Schizosaccharomyces pombe: one gene and its partners. The protein of the gene in region 3 interacts with the protein of the main gene of each other region in a pairwise test. Each region holds a gene or a part of one and is shown on either strand. Other genes may lie near its edges.

The links.
Region 1: the proteins of hua1 (region 3) and spg4 interact in a two-hybrid assay, tested with the Schizosaccharomyces pombe proteins (2 studies listed by BioGRID).
Region 2: the proteins of hua1 (region 3) and moc3 interact in a two-hybrid assay, tested with the Schizosaccharomyces pombe proteins (2 studies listed by BioGRID).
Region 4: the proteins of hua1 (region 3) and rhp18 interact in a two-hybrid assay, tested with the Schizosaccharomyces pombe proteins (2 studies listed by BioGRID).

Annotation. Positions count from the first base shown.
Region 1 is NC_003424.3:3,479,694-3,485,162, forward strand, and holds spg4 (AAA domain-containing protein), read left to right. Parts: upstream 1-1,863; 5' UTR 1,864-2,215; coding exon 2,216-4,441; 3' UTR 4,442-4,912; downstream 4,913-5,469. Other genes in the region: tps1 (alpha,alpha-trehalose-phosphate synthase (UDP-forming)), read left to right, coding at 1-1,162; hrb1 (RNA-binding and mRNA export factor), read left to right, coding at 4,985-5,005, 5,043-5,372.
Region 2 is NC_003424.3:991,075-995,553, reverse strand, and holds moc3 (DNA-binding transcription factor Moc3), read left to right. Parts: upstream 1-1,765; 5' UTR 1,766-2,275; coding exon 2,276-3,802; 3' UTR 3,803-3,922; downstream 3,923-4,479. Other genes in the region: ubiquitin ligase Slp1, read left to right, coding at 1-78; mitotic and meiotic (sporulation) septin Spn2, read right to left, coding at 4,029-4,479. UniProt on the Schizosaccharomyces pombe protein: Induces sexual development and ascus formation. Also involved in calcium homeostasis.
Region 3 is NC_003424.3:1,768,125-1,772,540, reverse strand, and holds hua1 (protein hua1), read right to left. Parts: upstream 2,393-4,416; 5' UTR 2,351-2,392; coding exon 1,676-2,350; 3' UTR 518-1,675; downstream 1-517. Other genes in the region: protein phosphatase regulatory subunit Glc8, read left to right, coding at 2,521-3,453; erp2 (COPII-coated vesicle-associated protein Erp2/3/4), read right to left, coding at 4,122-4,416.
Region 4 is NC_003423.3:1,068,176-1,072,575, forward strand, and holds rhp18 (postreplication repair E3 ubiquitin-protein ligase), read left to right. Parts: upstream 1-1,852; 5' UTR 1,853-2,082; coding exon 2,083-3,246; 3' UTR 3,247-3,395; downstream 3,396-4,400. Other genes in the region: mannan polymerase I complex subunit Anp1, read left to right, coding at 1-209; DNAJ protein Spf31, read right to left, coding at 935-1,513, 1,717-1,767; TRAPP III complex subunit Trs8502, read right to left, coding at 3,396-4,400. UniProt on the Schizosaccharomyces pombe protein: E3 RING-finger protein, member of the UBC2/RAD6 epistasis group. Associates to the E2 ubiquitin conjugating enzyme ubc2/rad6 to form the ubc2-rad18 ubiquitin ligase complex involved in postreplicative repair (PRR) of damaged DNA.

The DNA of each region.
Region 1 (5,469 bases), 1.7 Mb from region 3:
GGAAAATTGGGAGGCCTATCGTGCGGCTAACTACGCTTTTGCCGAGGCCATTGTCAAAAATCTGCAGGATGGTGATTTAATTTGGGTGCAGGATTATCATTTGATGGTTCTTCCTCAAATGTTGCGTGAATTAATCGGTGATAAGTTTAAGGATATCAAAATTGGCTTCTTCTTGCACACTCCTTTCCCAAGTAGCGAAATCTATCGTGTTTTACCCGTTAGAAACGAAATCCTTGAAGGTGTACTCAACTGTGATCTCGTTGGCTTCCATACCTACGACTATGCCCGTCACTTTTTGTCTGCATGCTCTCGTATCCTTAATCTTAGCACACTACCTAACGGTGTGGAATACAATGGTCAAATGGTCAGCGTCGGCACCTTCCCCATCGGTATTGATCCCGAAAAGTTCTCTGATGCTCTGAAGTCTGACGTGGTAAAGGATCGCATTGCAAGCATCGAACGTAGACTACAAGGCGTTAAGGTGATTGTGGGTGTCGATCGTTTGGACTACATTAAGGGTGTTCCCCAAAAATTCCATGCCTTTGAAGTGTTCTTAGAACAATACCCTGAATGGGTTGGAAAGGTCGTGTTGGTTCAAGTTGCCGTTCCTTCTCGTCAAGATGTCGAAGAGTATCAGAATCTTAGAGCCGTTGTCAATGAGCTTGTTGGCCGTATTAACGGTCGTTTTGGTACTGTTGAATATACACCTATTCATTTCTTACATAAAAGTGTTCGCTTTGAAGAGCTGGTTGCTCTGTATAACGTTTCAGACGTTTGTTTAATTACCTCAACTCGTGATGGTATGAATCTTGTTTCATACGAGTACATTTGCACTCAACAAGAGAGACATGGTGCCCTAATTCTTAGTGAATTTGCCGGTGCTGCCCAGTCACTCAATGGTAGTATTGTAATTAATCCATGGAACACGGAGGAATTAGCAAACTCCATTCATGATGCCCTCACTATGCCGGAGAAACAACGTGAGGCTAATGAGAATAAATTATTCCGATATGTTAATAAGTATACCAGTCAATTCTGGGGTCAAAGCTTTGTCGGTGAGTTGCAACGCATTCAACACTACAGCCACCCTCACCCCAGAAGAACGAATCCGATTTTACGAACCAAGTCTGCTCAAGTGCTGTCGATGAATTCTAGCTCGTAAGAGTGCATTAGCAACACTATTGGTTTGTTTTCCCATTAATCAAGTTGTTGCACTTTTACACTTTTACTTCTATAATTTCATTCTCAAAGCAATTAAATCATTTGGTCATATATATTCGATGAGTTAGCAGTTTACGATACAAAGGATGTTGTTTATACTGGCACTTTTTTTATTGAGATGAATTCACAATACATGATATAATGCAACGTTCTTTAATGATTTTTTTATATGCAGAAATTCCAATCAGCTTATGGTGGTTTGAGTATTTGCTGATGATGGAAATTTGTTAGACAAGTATTCGACAATTTTTTTATGAAGTGTTGTTCTTTGTAATTTCCTTTGGTTTTATATTGAACATGATGGCAAAAAGAATAAATGTTTTGTTATTTAACCTTAAAAATCCTGTAACATTCAATTAATATTATTTTTATACATTTTTTTTGGGATACACGTGGAAGATTGTGACTAATATATCTTATAAGTAAGGATGAGAATATGCTGGACTGGTGAACGGAGTTGGACCAAGCAAATATTAAGATTAATAGTGAAATGGTTTTAAAGGTATTATTTATTGTAAGTAAACTAATTTTCAATTCTCATATAGCAAAAAGAGTTTTTTTGTGTAAATGATGAAGATGCGTCATTTACCCATCATTATTCTTCGCTACACCAAAACCAACCGTAAAGATTTAAAACTCAACAAGCACAGTGCGTATATCATAGAACTTCTATTCACGCATATAATTAGTGCTGTTGCTAGTTTTGTATTTATTTTTGTAGACTTTATCAAGTTTTCCGACAAAATCGTGGTTTTAGTGAGAAATTTTATCTTTAACTTTGTATCACTATATCTACGATTTGTATTTGCATGCCGCATTCTGCTTGTACGAAAACAATATTTAATAAGGTAATAGGATATAAAAGGAGAAGTGTAGTTTGTGCACTTCAGCCAATATAGAAAGAGAATAACGTTTCCAATCGAGCCGATTTAACCTCTTTCCATTGAAAGGTAATTGTTTTTAATCAGTTGTAGACGTTAAAGAATGCACAAAAATGAGCCTTGAAGACTGCTATAACGTCACACAGTCATATGCCGCCGTTGCAATTCATAAAGAGCAGACTGCTGACTATGTGGAGGCTATCGCTTTATTTCAAAAGGCCAAGCGGAACATTCTCATGAATCCAGAGTTTAAGTATGCGAGGGAACGCTTACACGTGATGGATTATGAAGATAGACATTATGTGGAAACATTACTCTGCATGTTGGAGCAGTTGACCATTCGAATTGAGTTCCTTACCAAAGAGATTGCGCAACAAGAAGCTGCTTATAAGGATATTCAAAATACACAAAAGTCACTTGTAACACAATCTTCTACTGGTAGCGCTAATGTTGCTTATATAAGTGGAAATGGTCCTGGCGATCGCTCATTTATCGATGATGGTAACTATAGTGCGTCTTCTTTTGAGCGTCAAAATAGAACAGCTCCTTTACAATCTAAAGTGACAACGGCATCCTTAAAACCTAATATTCCGCGAACATCTATGTCCTCTTCACCTACAGCTTCGCGGACTTCGTTGCGTAAAGGCGCTGGTGAACTAGAAACACATAGCGCTGTTAAATCTGCTAAAAAGGCCAGTGTCAAGAGTAAATCAGTGCTTCCTCCAAGTAAATCGCTTGCTAGGACTGGACTTCCAGCTGAAGTCTCTACCCAGAACAATGCCAATCGAGCAGCTCTATTGGCTTGGGGATCTTTGAATTCATCTAAGCCTAAGCATGCTCTCCCGCCATCATACATATCATCGGAAGCAGCGCAGGCATCTCGATCATCGTTTCAGGTTGAGCGTCATCGTCCAACTCCCGATAACTCCGCCGTTATTGAAGCTGCCCGCCGAACTTACTCTTCTATTTCCTCCTCTTCCTCACCCTTCAAAAAGAAAACGCAATCCCATCTCCCTAATCGTACCACTGAAGTACCTTCTATATCAAAACAGTTATCAAAGTCATCTACCTCAATCGCAACCGTCGCGCCATCTCTCGCTTCTGTTTCGTCAGTTACAAAATCGCCATCTCCCACTCCTCAGTCAGCTCCACGAGCTCAATCTGCTTCCACTGAAACTGCGCAAGATCTGGATTTCCTTACACCGCCACGTTTATCTGTGAACAACCCTTTTCTGAGTGATCTCTATCCAGCTTCCGAACAGGGGCTTTCTTCCTGTGAAGAGAAAGATTCGCCGGTTGATGGCGATGAATTTTTCAACCACACAAACGAAGAAGAGATTATTGAAAAGCAGTTTCAATCCACATCTATCTCTGCAATGACTTCTGAAAAGCAAGAACAAATTCTGCGTGAATGTCCAGACATCGACGAAGAGCTTGGTAAGAGTATACTTCGAGAAATCGTGGTTTCGGGTGATGAAGTTCATTGGGATGATATTTCTGGGTTAGAATTTGCTAAGCACTCTTTAAAAGAGGCAGTGGTGTATCCGTTCTTGCGTCCAGATTTGTTCCAAGGCTTGCGGGAACCAGCTAGGGGGATGCTTCTTTTTGGGCCTCCAGGAACTGGTAAGACAATGCTTGCGCGAGCTGTTGCTACTGAATCCCGTTCTGTCTTTTTTTCTATTTCAGCTTCTAGTTTAACATCCAAGTTTTTGGGTGAATCCGAAAAACTTGTTCGTGCTCTCTTCACTTTAGCAAAAAAGCTGTCTCCAAGCATCATTTTTGTTGACGAAATTGATTCACTGCTTTCTGCTAGAAGCAGTGATGGAAATGAGCATGAAACATCGAGAAGAATAAAAACAGAATTCTTAATTCAGTGGTCTTCGCTTGCAAGAGCAGCTGCATCTCGACAAACCGCCGATCACCCAAGAGTTCTAGTGCTTGCCGCTACCAATTTGCCTTGGTGTATCGACGATGCTGCTCGTAGACGATTTGTCCGTCGTACCTACATTCCCCTCCCTGATGAGACCACTCGTCGCTTACATTTAAATAACCTTTTAAAATATCAGAAGCATTCTCTTTCCTTAGAGGATATTGAGGCTATTGTGAAAGCAACCGAATATTACTCTGGCTCTGATTTGACAGCATTGGCAAAAGACGCAGCTATGGGGCCTTTGCGAAGTTTAGGTGAGTCTTTGCTATTCACGAAAATGGAGTCGATTAGGCCGATTAATTTAGATGACTTTAAAACTAGTATCAAGGTAATCCGGCCTAGTGTGAACTTGCAAGGGCTGGAACGATATTCAGAATGGGACAAAGAGTTCGGATCCCAAGGGCATTGAGTCTGTCTTCTTATTTAAAATTCCTAGCCTGATACCGATTTTTTTGGTAATCACGTTGAAAATTTATTTATTGTCTTTTAATACATGGCTTGTGCAAACTTATGATTATAACTAATAAGGACAACTTTTGCCTCAAGGAATTATTCATGATGATAATAATGGTGCTGTACCAAAAGCCTTTTTGTTTACTCCTAATATATTCGTTTGTCTCTTTTTTGTTGATACAATTTATGCACAGTCTTTGAATTTTTCAAACACTTAATATTAACTGAGGTTATCTCTAACCCTAGTTATTGTTTGAGTTTCCATTTTTATTACGACTCATTTACAAACAACTAAAACTCCTTACTATGATTAATTAGTCAGTACATGTCAATATTTATAATTTAAATGTTTACAGTTTTTTTATTCTATTGTTCTTTTAGCGAATCTAAGAGTTTACAGTATATCACTTACGAAATTATATTGCAGTTACACTATAGAAGTCAAGTTGTTGGGATGCTTTAATTATGTGAAGATGCACACTCAGCTTATGCTCTTGCGATGCCTAAACCTATAGAATGGGTATGATAACTATTGATTGATTTAGCTGATCAAATAGAATGAATTTGATTCAGGAATGGGTAGTAAGTTGGATGTGTCAAGTTCCTTGAATTCATCGTCTTCCAATATGGATCGTGACAGATCGGAGTCTCCGAAGCGACATGTCAACGGAAGCAATTCATTGAAACGTGGCTTGCATTTTGATGGAGAGCACACTGAAAGAGACCCTCACTTGGGAAATGGCCAAAAGTACACTCAACAAGAGCGTCGCGTGTATGTTGGTAATTTGTCATATCAAGTTCGTTGGTTTGAGTTGAAAGAGTTTATGGGACAAGTTGGCAATGTTCTTAATTGTGAGATTTTGAATCTTCCGAATGGATTATCGAAGGTAAGTTTGCTTCATAGAGGGTGGGTTTCATGCGACTAGTAAATCATTGTCTATTTAAATTGTAACGTTGAATCGATCCAATTGAACGTTACTTTTA
Region 2 (4,479 bases), 780 kb from region 3:
CGAGTTTATGATGGGGACCACGTTAAAAGGCCCATTCCAATTACCAAAACCCCGTCCAGCAGCATAACAATCCGTTGAACAACACCAGTTTCTTTTAGATTTCAACGTTTAGCTCGTCGAATCACTATGTTGCATCAGTTACTCACTATTTATTTATTTGGATTTGGCGCTAATGGGAAGATAATTGACACGTTTAAACTAATATTTTAATGACTCGTGAATAAATAATATGTGCTACAATTCAACTTGAGTCGATTTTATTATAATAGGATTGATGCTCGTATAACAAATTTGTAAATTCAATAGTTTGGCTTTTAATGAGAACAAGTTGGTTAATATAAATCTTCAGCCTGGCAAATCATTTTTCCGAAATGTGACCTTGTTGTTCCAATCGCTAAAGATATTTTGGTCTCATTGTTGTTATAATGTTCGCATCATGGAAGAGTACTAGGTAGTTATAAAAAAAAAAAAAAAAAAAAAAAACTTATCAATCTAATTCGTATTATTGAAACACAGATGAATTAAGAAAAAAAAAAACTAATGCTAATTCACGCTCATAATTGGCAAACATTTGGTATTTACGATCTCATGTATTTTCTTAACTACCTATTGCTGTACCATAGTTGGTTTTCTTCATCGGGTAATGTTAATCTCATCAGTAAACAAATACTGTTATTATACGTTATTTGCTTTAAGAAGTGAAATGAGAAAAATGGGTGAACTAGGTATGAATAGTGAATCCCCTATTGTTACAGGAGGATATGGATTTCAATAAAAGGTAAGACCTTTGACAAAGCCGACTAACCTTGGGGTGATCTGATTGAGATTAAGTACAATCATCCTGATAAAGCAATAATCGCATCACGAACAACGAACAATTCCACCTTTAGGGGTGGATAATTTGGTTTTGTGAGACTTGCATTGGCATAGGTTTTGATGCTTTTTGTGCCTTTCTCATAAATCTGGAGTATAGTTTTCTTACCGAGCGAAGAAACATGATGCTTTTGATCCAGTGACAGTTTCCCAGAGATCGACAATAGGCCACGGATCTTCGCTATGGTTATCAAGCTACTAGGGTACTAGGGTAGGTGTAGCGTTCAAAGCTAACAGTTGTATTCAAGCTTAAGTTTATATTTTGTTAATATAAAAGAGTGACAAGTTTGCATATGAATGAAGATTTTCGCTAGTGCAGAGTGAATGAACGATTTGAAATAAAAAAAAAATGCAGGAAGCATCTTCGTATGCGTAAGCCATGTAAAGATCAACCAAATCGCTGTAACAATGGAGAGACATGTGGCTCCTGAACATGACAGATATTCGAAGCCACGTGGTTATTAACCAACTTGATCAACCTAAATGAGAATGCAAACTATATTTAGGTACATGCAAAGAATTTTTTTTATAAATTGTCTGAAAGAAAAAGAAAAAAAACAGAAAAAAACGAAAAGCAAGGAATGCTATTTATGAAACACATGAGGGCATAATCTAAGTATCAAAAAATTAACGAAACATCTGTGTTTTTTTTTTATTTTTAAAAGAACATTAGAGGTTAAACAAGTTAATCGTTCTTATACTGTTTTTGCTTGGCTCGTGATTTTCTCAATTCTTTGGATTTTTGTACTAATGCGTATCAAGCAAGCTACTTTACTAACGTCTAAATAAAAAGCTCTTAGTATTGTTGTTGCCTTTGGGCTTATCAAATTTGCCGCCTTATCACTCGCTAATGTCGAGGTTCCTACTTGAAAGTTGTTCCAACATTTTTTCTAAGTCCTTTATTCACCCAAATTTGCATTTGTAAATTGGGTGAGCTTGTCGCTTTTGCTAGTTTTGTTTTCAAGTCACTTCCTATAAACCTATTGATTGTGCAAGAGTTGCTAGCAAATTGCTAGACGACCATTGATTTTCACCTTCTTTTGTTTTTTTAGGGCTTTTTCTTTTGTTATTACGAACAGTTTGGCCGTCCGGTTATTCTGAAATAATTTATTGTATTCATATATATATAATTATAGAGTTAGTAACGCTACCTTTTTTAAAAAAAAGACTACAAAGAGTTTCTTGGCCTTTACGAAAAAGGTGCTTAGTTTCCTTGTTAAATTGGAGCTTAAATTTTGTATAAATCGGCTTCCAATTTCATGTTCTGTGCTTGCGTTTTTTCTTTGCGCGCTTTTCTCAAGCAGCGTAGCGTTTTCAAATCGGGCTTTCTTTACTTTTGATTTGTTTAGTTCCTATTATCTTGTTATTCTTTTTTTTTCTATCTATTGTTTCCCTTGCAGTTATGAACCCGTATGTTTCTTATCCCGAAATTCATATGAAACGGAATAGAACGGGTAGTATTAATTCAAATCCGCTATATATTCCCAACCCAAACGTCGAGCCTACGCCCAAGCCCACAAAAAGAAGAACGAAAACTGGATGTTTAACATGTCGCCGTCGCAGGATCAAGTGCGACGAAACCAAACCTTTTTGTTTGAACTGCACAAAGACAAATAGGGAATGTGAAGGTTATCCAAATTCAGCTGCTCAAATGCAAGCCATGGGGAGTGTATCGCCTCCTGAGCTAAGCGTTCATTCTGCTCAACAGCCATTGATACCTACTTCAATTGCTTCAAGTAGCGCTCAAACCGGAGACACTTTTTCCGGCTCTTCACAATCCAATTTTAATACAAATGATCTTAATCAGATGACCTCCTCCTCCAATTTATCCACCGTTACCCCAATCAAACAGGATCATCAAAAACCTATGAATTTACAAGGATTTCCAAGTGCTTATCAACAGCATCAATACCTTCAATCCAATCATAACGTTCCTACAAATAATTCTTCTAGCGCTACTTCGTCTACAAAACCCTCTGTACAATCGGTGGGTCAGGCCTCTTACCCTTTTCTTTCATCAGTTTCCAATTTCCCTTCAAACTTTAATTCCGAACTGTTTCCGTTTTATTTTCACGATGTCGTACCTTCTATTTGTGCATTTGAATTTGATAATAACATAGCCTTGCATTTTTGGTCAGTCACTGTTCCCCAGTTTGCTCAATCGATGCCTTGTATTGCTAATTCTTTAATGGCTTTTGCGTCTATTAAGAAGCTCGACGTTTTTGGTGCTTACAGTCATTTGACCAGAGCTCTTCGCTGTCCAATGCCTGGTCCCAATTCTTTTGAATACCTGTTGGTTTCTGCATTTTTGACTCTCACTCAGCTCAATCTCCCAGCCTATGATCTCAATTTTTGTAATAATTTTATTAGAAAGTTAAGTTGGTCTTCGTCTACCAAATCAAATTATGTCAGCTTATTGATTGCTATGGTCGTTCGTGAACTAGTTTTTGCAATTCTTCCTCGTGGGTGTATCTGGGGGTTTAATGGAAAGCCTTTATCGGAAGTTTCTGTTTCTCGAAGTCATGCACCTGTTTCGGATTCTTTGTTTACTATTGGATTGGACATTCTCTCTCAACCAACCTTGTCTGATGATTTGCATCGAGAACGAATGGTTGCTTGGCGAGATGAATATCATGTGCACTTGTATTCAGCATCAAGAAGTCCTCTTACTAAAGTTATAGATTGTGTAGGACATGCCGTTACCAAAAACAATAATGACGTTCTTTCTGGCTTACAGCAATTAATGCAAGAAGAATGCACAGATATTGCAGTATTACGCACTTCCTATTTATGCGTATTATCTCTACAAAATGTTTTTGCATCAAACTCTAAAGAATTTAAACTTCGGGCACAAATCGAATCTCATTTCGGAAGATTGATGCTAGAACATTTTATGGATTGCAATGTCTTAAATCGACCAGTACTTTAATTTTAAAATCATTTTGATGCTTTTCAATAAATATTGATATAGAACTGTATAATAGCTAGACAAAATCACGCATCAAACATATAATCTCTCGTTAATAAGATAAACACTTCATTTGTAAGATTCGCATAGTGTAAAAAGAGCCGAAATTTACGAATTACGGTACGACAGTCATACAAATGGTTTAGTCTTTGTTCTAAACATACTATATATTACCTTAGGAAGAAGACTATTGAGCGGTGGCTGTATGGAGATGTGGTTCAGAAGGGTACACAGGTGCGGGACTTCCCATTCTAGTTGCGAGGGAAGACTGTTCTTTTAAGCTGCTCAATTGCTTAAAGCGGAATTTCTCGTAATGATAGTATGAGGTCGTTTCAATTAAATCTTGAAGATGAGTTCGCATCAAAAAGTTACGAAGAAAAACAAACTCGCAGTGGTTTTCATCATCCACATTGACAACCCCCCATCTGTTTTGACGACCACGAATAGGCCTTCCATCTACGATAATGGCTTTTTCGGAACCGACCACGGCAAAAGGAATAAGATTTCGGACGGCAGCATTTAGATTAATTTCCTCCTCATCGGCGTCATCAGAATCATAAGGATACAAATTGATGTCGTGTTTAACAAATTCTTCACGGATTTGCTGCTTAAATGCTGCTCTTTCTTCAAGAGTCAAT
Region 3 (4,416 bases):
TCAAATGCAACATACGACAACTAAGAGCCATAGATCAAGCGGTTACTTAATTTATTTCTATAGTTTTAATTTTCTATAAAAATATGTATATCAACTGTTTCAATAAATATTGTACTTATAATTTCGTTTTGCCAACTCCTTTGTCAAGAGAGAAAACGTAATTAAAAAACATGGTCACAGCCAGGTTCGAACTGGCGACATTCGACTTATTAGATCGACATGATAACCGACTACATCATGCGACCAACTGTTAACTTGATGATTATTTAAACCTATTTATAATAACATTAATGTTAAAAATATGAATGAAACTGACCTTTTTATACAAAAGGTATATATATAAACAAGAAGGACTTTCATTTTAATTTTGATAAGACAGTTTGAAATATCCTCCAATCCAATTTAAGATTGTTTCTAGTTTACAGATTTTCAAATCAGGAATTACTAAGTCATTTGCAACACTAAACATGAAGAAGTAGTCTAACTCACTATCTGCTCGATGTATATGTTAGCATATGCTTTCCTTGTGCCAGCCCTAAAGAGAAACTGACAGTGGTTTGCTTTTGCAAATGAAAAAATAAAATTGGAGAACATACAATTGTACGAAAATGCTACCTATCCAAATGGGTCTTTAACGAATTTTTTAAGCTTAAAAGTTGCCATATGTAGTGTGTTTGCTTGATTCATTAATAGTCATTTATTATGGTGCAATACTTCGTCAAGACAATAGTGATAGCTTTTTTAACTTATTGCGAGAACAGAAGATAGCAATTAATCTGATGTACAAATAACGATAATATTCTAATGACATCAATGGAAAACAATAATGAAAATAGGCACTCCATATTGCTTCCCGAAATTTGTACTTGTGGCATAGCAGATAAACAGGACGAACTAGATAAAAAATGAGCAAGGGTTTCTAAAGGAGAATAATTTCATCAAGTTTTTTTTTTTTGCTTCTTCTTAATAAGTATTTAATACTCAAGAAAACGTAGAAACAATTAGGCAACAATAGCACTGTGGTTTACAGTTACCCTTTCTTATACAGAAAAGATAGAGGTTATGACAACTGTTAAAACATGGAATTTTGCATGATGAACCGGTATTACTTTTGTAAGTTAATACAATAACAAAAAGATAAAAGTTAATAGAAAATTTAGGGAAAAAGAAGTGCAAAGCTCTGAGAATCATTCCGATATACTTAGACAATAGTAAAATAAATAAATACTTAGAACACGGACGGATTTTGCAATTTTAAGAATTAGGAAGTCCCGTAGATATTATTTAGAAGAAATTTTCCAAAGCATAAACGAAGTAGATAAGGAAAGAGCATTTTTGGAAAACAAACTTAATGGTCAAAACTATGACCAAATTAAAAATTCACGAATTCATAAACAAACCCAAAAAACGAAGACATTTTCGATATGAGCAATAAGCATATAAAAGGGGCTCTATGATATGGGTTGGTGGGAAAGAATGCTTAAAAGGGATTGTCGTAAAACTGGTAAATTATAGAATGAATAAAATCGCAACATTCAAAAAATGTTTTAAAATTATTCAAATATTTAAATTGAGAAATGAGTCTTGTCGCTCATTTCAAATAAATAATAATTACAAGAGTATGTCATATATGAACAAGAACTTAATGGAGTATCAGTTTTGCTCAGCAGTTGATTTAGTAGGGAATTTTTCCAACACCATTGCATACCGGGCAAATTTCGGTAAAGAATATAAAGTCAAGTTGACCACTGCCTTTGCAATTCCCGCAAACCCTTCCAGGAATTCGAGGGTCACCAGGATAAACAACTAGTGCACCAGGAGGTGGTCGACTGAATTGAACATCGTACGATCGTCCAAATCTACGAGCGCAACGACCACATGGCCTTCCGCTATCTTTGTAGCCAGTATTGTGGCATTTGTAACACATATAGCCAGGTGGATATGGATATGAAATCCTTGGTCGACCAGAAGGAGGCGGTGCGTAAGATGACTGAGGGCGAGCATAAAATTGGCTGGTCTGATAAGGAGGTTTCGCCGTGTTATAATTTGAAGATGGAGGAGGACTCGCGTACATCGTTGAAGCGTTTCCAGGTTGCCAAGAGTTTGGTCTTTGACTAGTAGGACGCGCAGGTGGGTATGGCGCTTGAGAATAGGCATTGCCAGATCCAGAACTTGACACAGGCCTTGAGTTTAGACTCGATGCTGCGTAATTCGGCAAGGTAGAAGAGGAACTTGAAGGGTGACCAGCAGAAGTAGATGTTTGGCCATTGCTGGAGTTTGGTGAATCAATAACACCTTCTTGCCTTAAAACCTCTTCATACGATGGAGGAGGGACAGAATCATCAGTCATTTTTATGATATACTATCACTTAATATACAGGTTGTTGTTGGTAAAGGAATGTTCTCGTATGAGATGTGATTGTAGTAGGTACATGCGTCAACTGATCCTCCACCAACTTTTACATCTTCAAATCAAGGATATCATTTTCTCGTATCCAAAACGCACAGAAATAGATAACGATGAAGGTTAAATCAATTCTTAAACATAGTCGTATGAGTTCTCCCTCACTTGAGACTGACTCAATGGAAAGTGGCCAACAACAAAATATGGTCTCATCAACACCTTCAATTGATATGAATGAGAGTGATTGCTCGGGCACAGGAACTCCATCGGAAGAAAGAATTCGTCGTCTTCGTTGGGATGAGGAAAATCTTTCAAAAGCTGAACAGCAGAAGTCAGCGAAAATGAAAATTACCGAACCGAAAACTCCTTTTCAACGCTTTTTGCTTCCAGATGATGAAGTTCCTGAAATCAATTTGGATGAAACTGACAGTAAGGACGACTTTACTGCTGGAACTTTGGGTGACACACTCGGCACTCTTCCCAGTACCCGGGTGTCAAAAGATTCTAAAGATGACAATGTCTCCTTTTCGAGCGACAAGAAACAATTTTATGTCAAAAAGGAACCTTTCCCGGTTCCTTGTACTGAACCGACTACTTCGGGTGATAGGTACACCGTCCGTATGAAGGCTCCAACACCAAAGTACTCTACAGATAATCATTTACCAAGTAAAAAAGAACTATTTCCGAGGGAAACAAAACCCCAAGTTGAAGTAGTTCATGCCAGAATTAATAATCCTGACGACCATTTACGTACTCATCCTTCTGTGAATAACCTAGGTAAAGATTCTGATCATGCTGATAAAATGTATAATGAAGGAGTAATTCTAGGAGAAGACGAAGCAATGGAAGAGGAGGCTTTATCTGAAGCTGAAGAGAACATTCCTAAAAAGAAACCGGACTTCAACGAACTTCGAAAGAAACATTATTTTGCTATGGCTAAGCCCTTGAAAAGAGATGAACTTGAAAGCAGTGGTACAGAGAGTGATTTAGAGAGAGATAATAGCGATTCTGGGTCAGCTTCTGATGTAAATATGAATGAAAATGAGTGAATCACTTTATTAACTTTACGCATTATTGAAACGTGAGTTGCAAGTACAAAGGATCTTGAGTTTCATTTATTATAACGTCAAACGACTGCAAATTATTTTTTCGACCTTCAAAGTTTTATTACATGAGCTTTTGCGTCTTCTCCGTTTACGTTTTTTATTCATTTCTATTCCCCTTTTTTGCCCTTTTCACTTTGGTTGTACAGTTGTTCTGCTCGGTTTATATTAAAACCTTTCTTATGAACTTCAAATAGTTTAACGGCTTTCATTTCATTTTTATGCCCTTTTAGCAGTCTAATCCTTCATTTATGGCCGCTAACCCTACCCATTCTTTTTTTTTCATAGTATACAATTTTTTATACTTAAATACTCATTAAGCACATTTTTTCTTTATTTCGTTGATAGGTTGCTTAAATTTGTATGAAACACGAATACAGTTGTAAAATGCAATGAAGGAAATAATAATATTGCTTAGTGGAAAATACTTCAACTACAAGAAATTGTAATCCTTGATTTAATAAAGACGCATGTCGATTGTCTTATTTAAATCCTGGCATAATAATATAATCCTGAATAAAACAATAGAGCTATAAGCTTCGTTAAGACTGATTAAAGGCATACATAGGCATGACAGATATGAATATTGTTAGAAAGGTGACCGACTAGTCAGTTTATACACCTCTCCGACCAGATCGTTTAAAGAATGTCTTTACAATAAAGACTTGAAGAGCAGAAAGAGCGACAACCATTATAGATTCAGCAAGACTAAACCAAAAGATGCGGGCTTGAGTAGACTTTACAGTAGAATAATTACGATGCTCCCGAGTTTTGAAGTAATTTTGTACACGGTCAATTTCAGATAATGCGGTTGAGATCTCTAAAACAGTACTTTGCATGCTGTCCTTTTTGTAGTCTTTGGCTTCATCACGGGTTAATGCAGGAAGAGAAAGTTCATTTTCCATAGTG
Region 4 (4,400 bases), on a different chromosome or scaffold from region 3:
ACGGACTTCCTCACTATGTTATTTGGCATATTTATGAACCTAGCGATGATGATAAGCGTATTATGGCTGAAATGGAACGCGAAAGGAAAGAAAGGGAGGCCGCAGAGCTTGAAGAGGCTAAAAAGTATCAGACTGCTGGATTCACGCAACCAGATGATCAGGGTGCTGAAGAAGGTCCTTTGGCACATGCAGACGATCATGTTGATTAAGCTCCCTTACTTTGTAAAAAAATTCCTGAGCACAGTAACCATGTTTTACAGTCCTCTCTCTTCTTTATTTAAATCGCTGCCCCTTTTCACTTACATATATAATGATGGTCGCGTTTTTTCTTTATTCTTATTTCTTTTTATCTCTTTTAAACATATGATCAAGACATAATTAGTAATTTTAGTGTTATTCTGCCCTCTTTTTTTTAACTTGGTATACGAACTCATAATGGGATGCACGTTAGGATGATGCTTGTTTCTTCAGTTGGTGCGCTTTAATGCTATGCCAGGAAAAAAAGGAAGCTCTTGGTCTTATTCTCTCTTTAAGGACTTTTTCCTCCAAAAAGCCTTGTACATACAAACATCTTTAGTTTGTTGTTTATTCGACAGTGGGTAGGGCAATCATTCTCTTTCTTTACATGCACCCATTAGGAATATATGCCATAGAACGCTGTAAATATACAAAGCAGTTACCATGGTTAAACGGCATTCATATTAATTCTATTACGATACTGATACATATCACTGTCGAAAAGCAAATTTCAGTAGAATTTGTTGATTAGTTTACTTAATGGTAATCTGCTCACGTAGCATGAAAAGAAATTTCAATTTATAAATTGTTGAAAACTTCATATTAAATCATTTCAATCGCATAGGTCATGTACAAATACTAAAAGAGGTTAAGTCGTCGAAGCTTTAATGTACAATAAAACGCGTAACTTCGTCTTTTATCCAAGAACCCTTGGTTTTTTATTCTTCTTTTTTAAGTTATTTTTCTTCGTTTTGTGAAGGAAATCCTGCCAATTTCCCACACGATTATCTCTTGTCTCTTCCCAAACCTTTTCTGATTCTACACGACGCTTTCGTTCTCTTGCAATTTCATCTTGACGCGCTTGTTCTCTTTGCTGGTTTGCTAAATCGAGCTGCCGTGCTCGTCTTCTTGCAACTTCATCTGCAATAAGGATTTCACGCCAACGTACTTTTAAATCAAATAAAAACTGGTCTGAATGGACGTCTTCCGAATTTGGAGACAATTTTTTTTCTTTCAATAGTTGGTTCCTTGCAGCTGTGTAAGCCGAATCAAGAGATTCCCGAATCTTATCATTAACTAGATCAGACTCCGCCTTTTTTAAAATGTCGAATGCGTCTGCAGCTTTTGGGTTATCGCGATTTTTGTCTGGATGAATCATTAATGATTTTTTCCTGTACAAATTTCGAATATCATCAACACTCATTCCTGGCAAAATATCAAGAACATCATATGCATTTAATTTAAAGGAAGACAATATTCTGTCAATCTCACGTCCCTAAGTAAAGGTTAGAATTCATCGACTTTGTTTGATTAGCAAGTAATATACGCATAGGCAAAGTTATTCTATTGTTTCATTGTAGTATATAATCTGTATAAACAAAAAAAAAAAAAATTCTGAGAATAAGATAAATCGAATCAACCTACTAAGGTACATCTAGAAATCTTCACATGCAATGTCAATAAAATGCTAAAACTTACTCTGTTTAAACTTCCTTCAACTCGATCTAAAAACTTTGCAACGTCTGCCATTTCTGACCGAGCCCCAAAATTGAAATTACAAGAGTGCAAATTTCAAAAATCCTTTATAGATAAATTTGGTGGTGAGTTAGGTTTTGCATTCGCCAACTTCTGGTATCGAGGGTAAGAATCTGTAAGTACGTTTAGAAACAGGTTCTTTACATTTGTTCTTTAAATGTAATAATGTATATGAATATACATATTCATTTACATATCGATGTGTCTAAGGTTTAAAAATTTACCGTCCGAGAGTGCTCTTACGAATCCCTAATTAAGTTTGAATATTAGTGCATATTAACTATTAATGGGTTTGCAATTTAAAATAAGATGAATGAACTAGATGCTACAGATCCATCTGATTGGAACCAAACGAAAATACCATCGTTGAAGGGCTTGGATTCTTCTTTACGATGTCTGATTTGTCATGAATACTTTCGCGCCCCCTTAATTACTTCTTGCTCACACACCTTTTGTTCGTTTTGTATACGCGATTATCTGAGAGAACATCCTATGTGCCCTGCTTGTCGTGCTCCTGAGCAAGAAAGCCGCTTAAGAAAAAACACTATATTAGAAGAGATTTTAGAGTCCTTTAAAGTGATCAGGCCAACATTGTTTGAATTCTTAAAAGTAGAAAATGTGCCAAAGCCAGTACTTCAAGCTCCTGAAACAGTTATCGCACAGGATTCAGCTTCTGGCGATGAGGAATGGGAAGACGACTTGGCTTCAAATTCATCTCCTGCTTCTATAGCTAAAAAGACATCTAGGGATTCTAAAAAGAGGAAACGTGAGGATTTAGTTCACTGCCCTGCATGTTCAAATTTAGTTCCTCATAATCAAATTAATCAACACTTGGATTCTTGTCTTAACTCACCTTCTTCCCCGTCTTCCTCTTCCTCACCTTATAAAAATAAGGATAATAGTAAATCTAATTCATTACTATCATTCAAAACAGATGATGATTCTATCACGAAGCGCAGGTTAAGGTCGTTTAACTCTGCAGATGAACTACCCTTGAAAGATCGAGTGCGGCTTCCCAAACTAACTTATGCACTCCTTTCCGAATCAAAAATTCGTTCCAAATTATCAGAGATGGGGCTTCCAACCGATGGACATAAACAACTATTACAACGTCGACATGCTAAATGGGTTACCCTTTACAATTCTAATTTAGACCAGAAACAACCTGTTTCAAAAAGAAATTTAATTCGCCAACTTATAGATTGGGAGCGCGTTCAGTCGAAATCAATTGGAGTAGAAAAAGAAAAACTAGGAGGGGGCGATTGGGAGAAGGCATACGCTGAGGATTTTGCTGATCTCATCAACCGTGCAAAACAATCAACAACTAACAAAAATGATTCATTGAGGAACACTGCTGTTGAATCTTCCACCGAACCTTCTACATCTAACGGTTTTCCTGCCACTTCAGTTAGTCCCCCTCTTACTATTGACCTTACCAATTCACAAACGGGATCCGATGGACCACAGTCCTAATCATTAATTTTCGTTGGATTCGTTTTAACGAATTTTCATTATCAGATTAACTTATTAGTTTATTTCGCTATATATAATCACATTAATAACCTGTAGAAATTTTGATATTTGGTAAATAAAATAATATACATTTTGAAAGTGGGGCATTTCTAGCTAGAAGGAATATTAGAAGCAGGTTGTTTGGAGACTTCGACTTCGTCAAGTGCTGCAACACACTCCTTCAAATCCTTCCAATCGATTTTTCCATAAAACAATTTTGCTTCCTCTACAAAAGGCTTGGCACGAAAGGGAATGCGACATCTCAACCAAGCATCGGCAGTTAATACACACCAAAGTGCGGCTTTACGAGTTCGCTTATTAGAGAACGGGTCCGTAGATTCAGTTTTTAAATAAGAAAGGGATTTAAAGAGAGTGTGAGTTTGTTGAAAGATCATTGCTCTTCCTACAGGACCCAATCTCTTAGAATAAAGCAAACCTGCATTCCAGTTAGCAGCATCGTCCACTTTTGGAGCTGGTAAACAACTAAGGAATTGTCCCAGGAGAAGGAAACAGCGCGCAGCATGATAATAGGAATTGAAGGATTTATTCAAATAATTTAACATAGCAGATTGCATATACTCGTTTATTCTCAATGTGTTCGTCAAACTCATATATGGCATTTTTAGGTGTAAAATATGTTCAGTTATTACAATCATTTCTAGAGAGGCAGCAGAATATAAGCAAGCACCATCATTTTCATACTGTCTTGATGCAATTTCATAAATCTGATTTGCATGAGAATAATCTCGTAGCATGAAGGAATAGTCGGCAAGTTTCCTAAGATATGCCTCTGGTGAAAATGGACGATAGGCATTAGATGAGGGGAAATAGTTAGAATTGGTAGAAGCATTCGAACTAGATAAATATTTTCTGGATGCAAATAACAGCTTACCGGTAATCCCTCGTCTCGGAGAAGCATATTGATCATCCCATGCTCTTACGCATTTGTCCAAATAAGAGACAATTCCGTTGAACGCAATGTGCGAAGATAACCGTCGCAGTGATTCATTGTCGGATTCAAAGAGTAATCGTATTTCAGTATCCGTATTAGATAAAAGGTGTAAACGTTCTTCAGCAGACAACCAAGAGGATGTTGGAAAAGGAACGGTATGTTC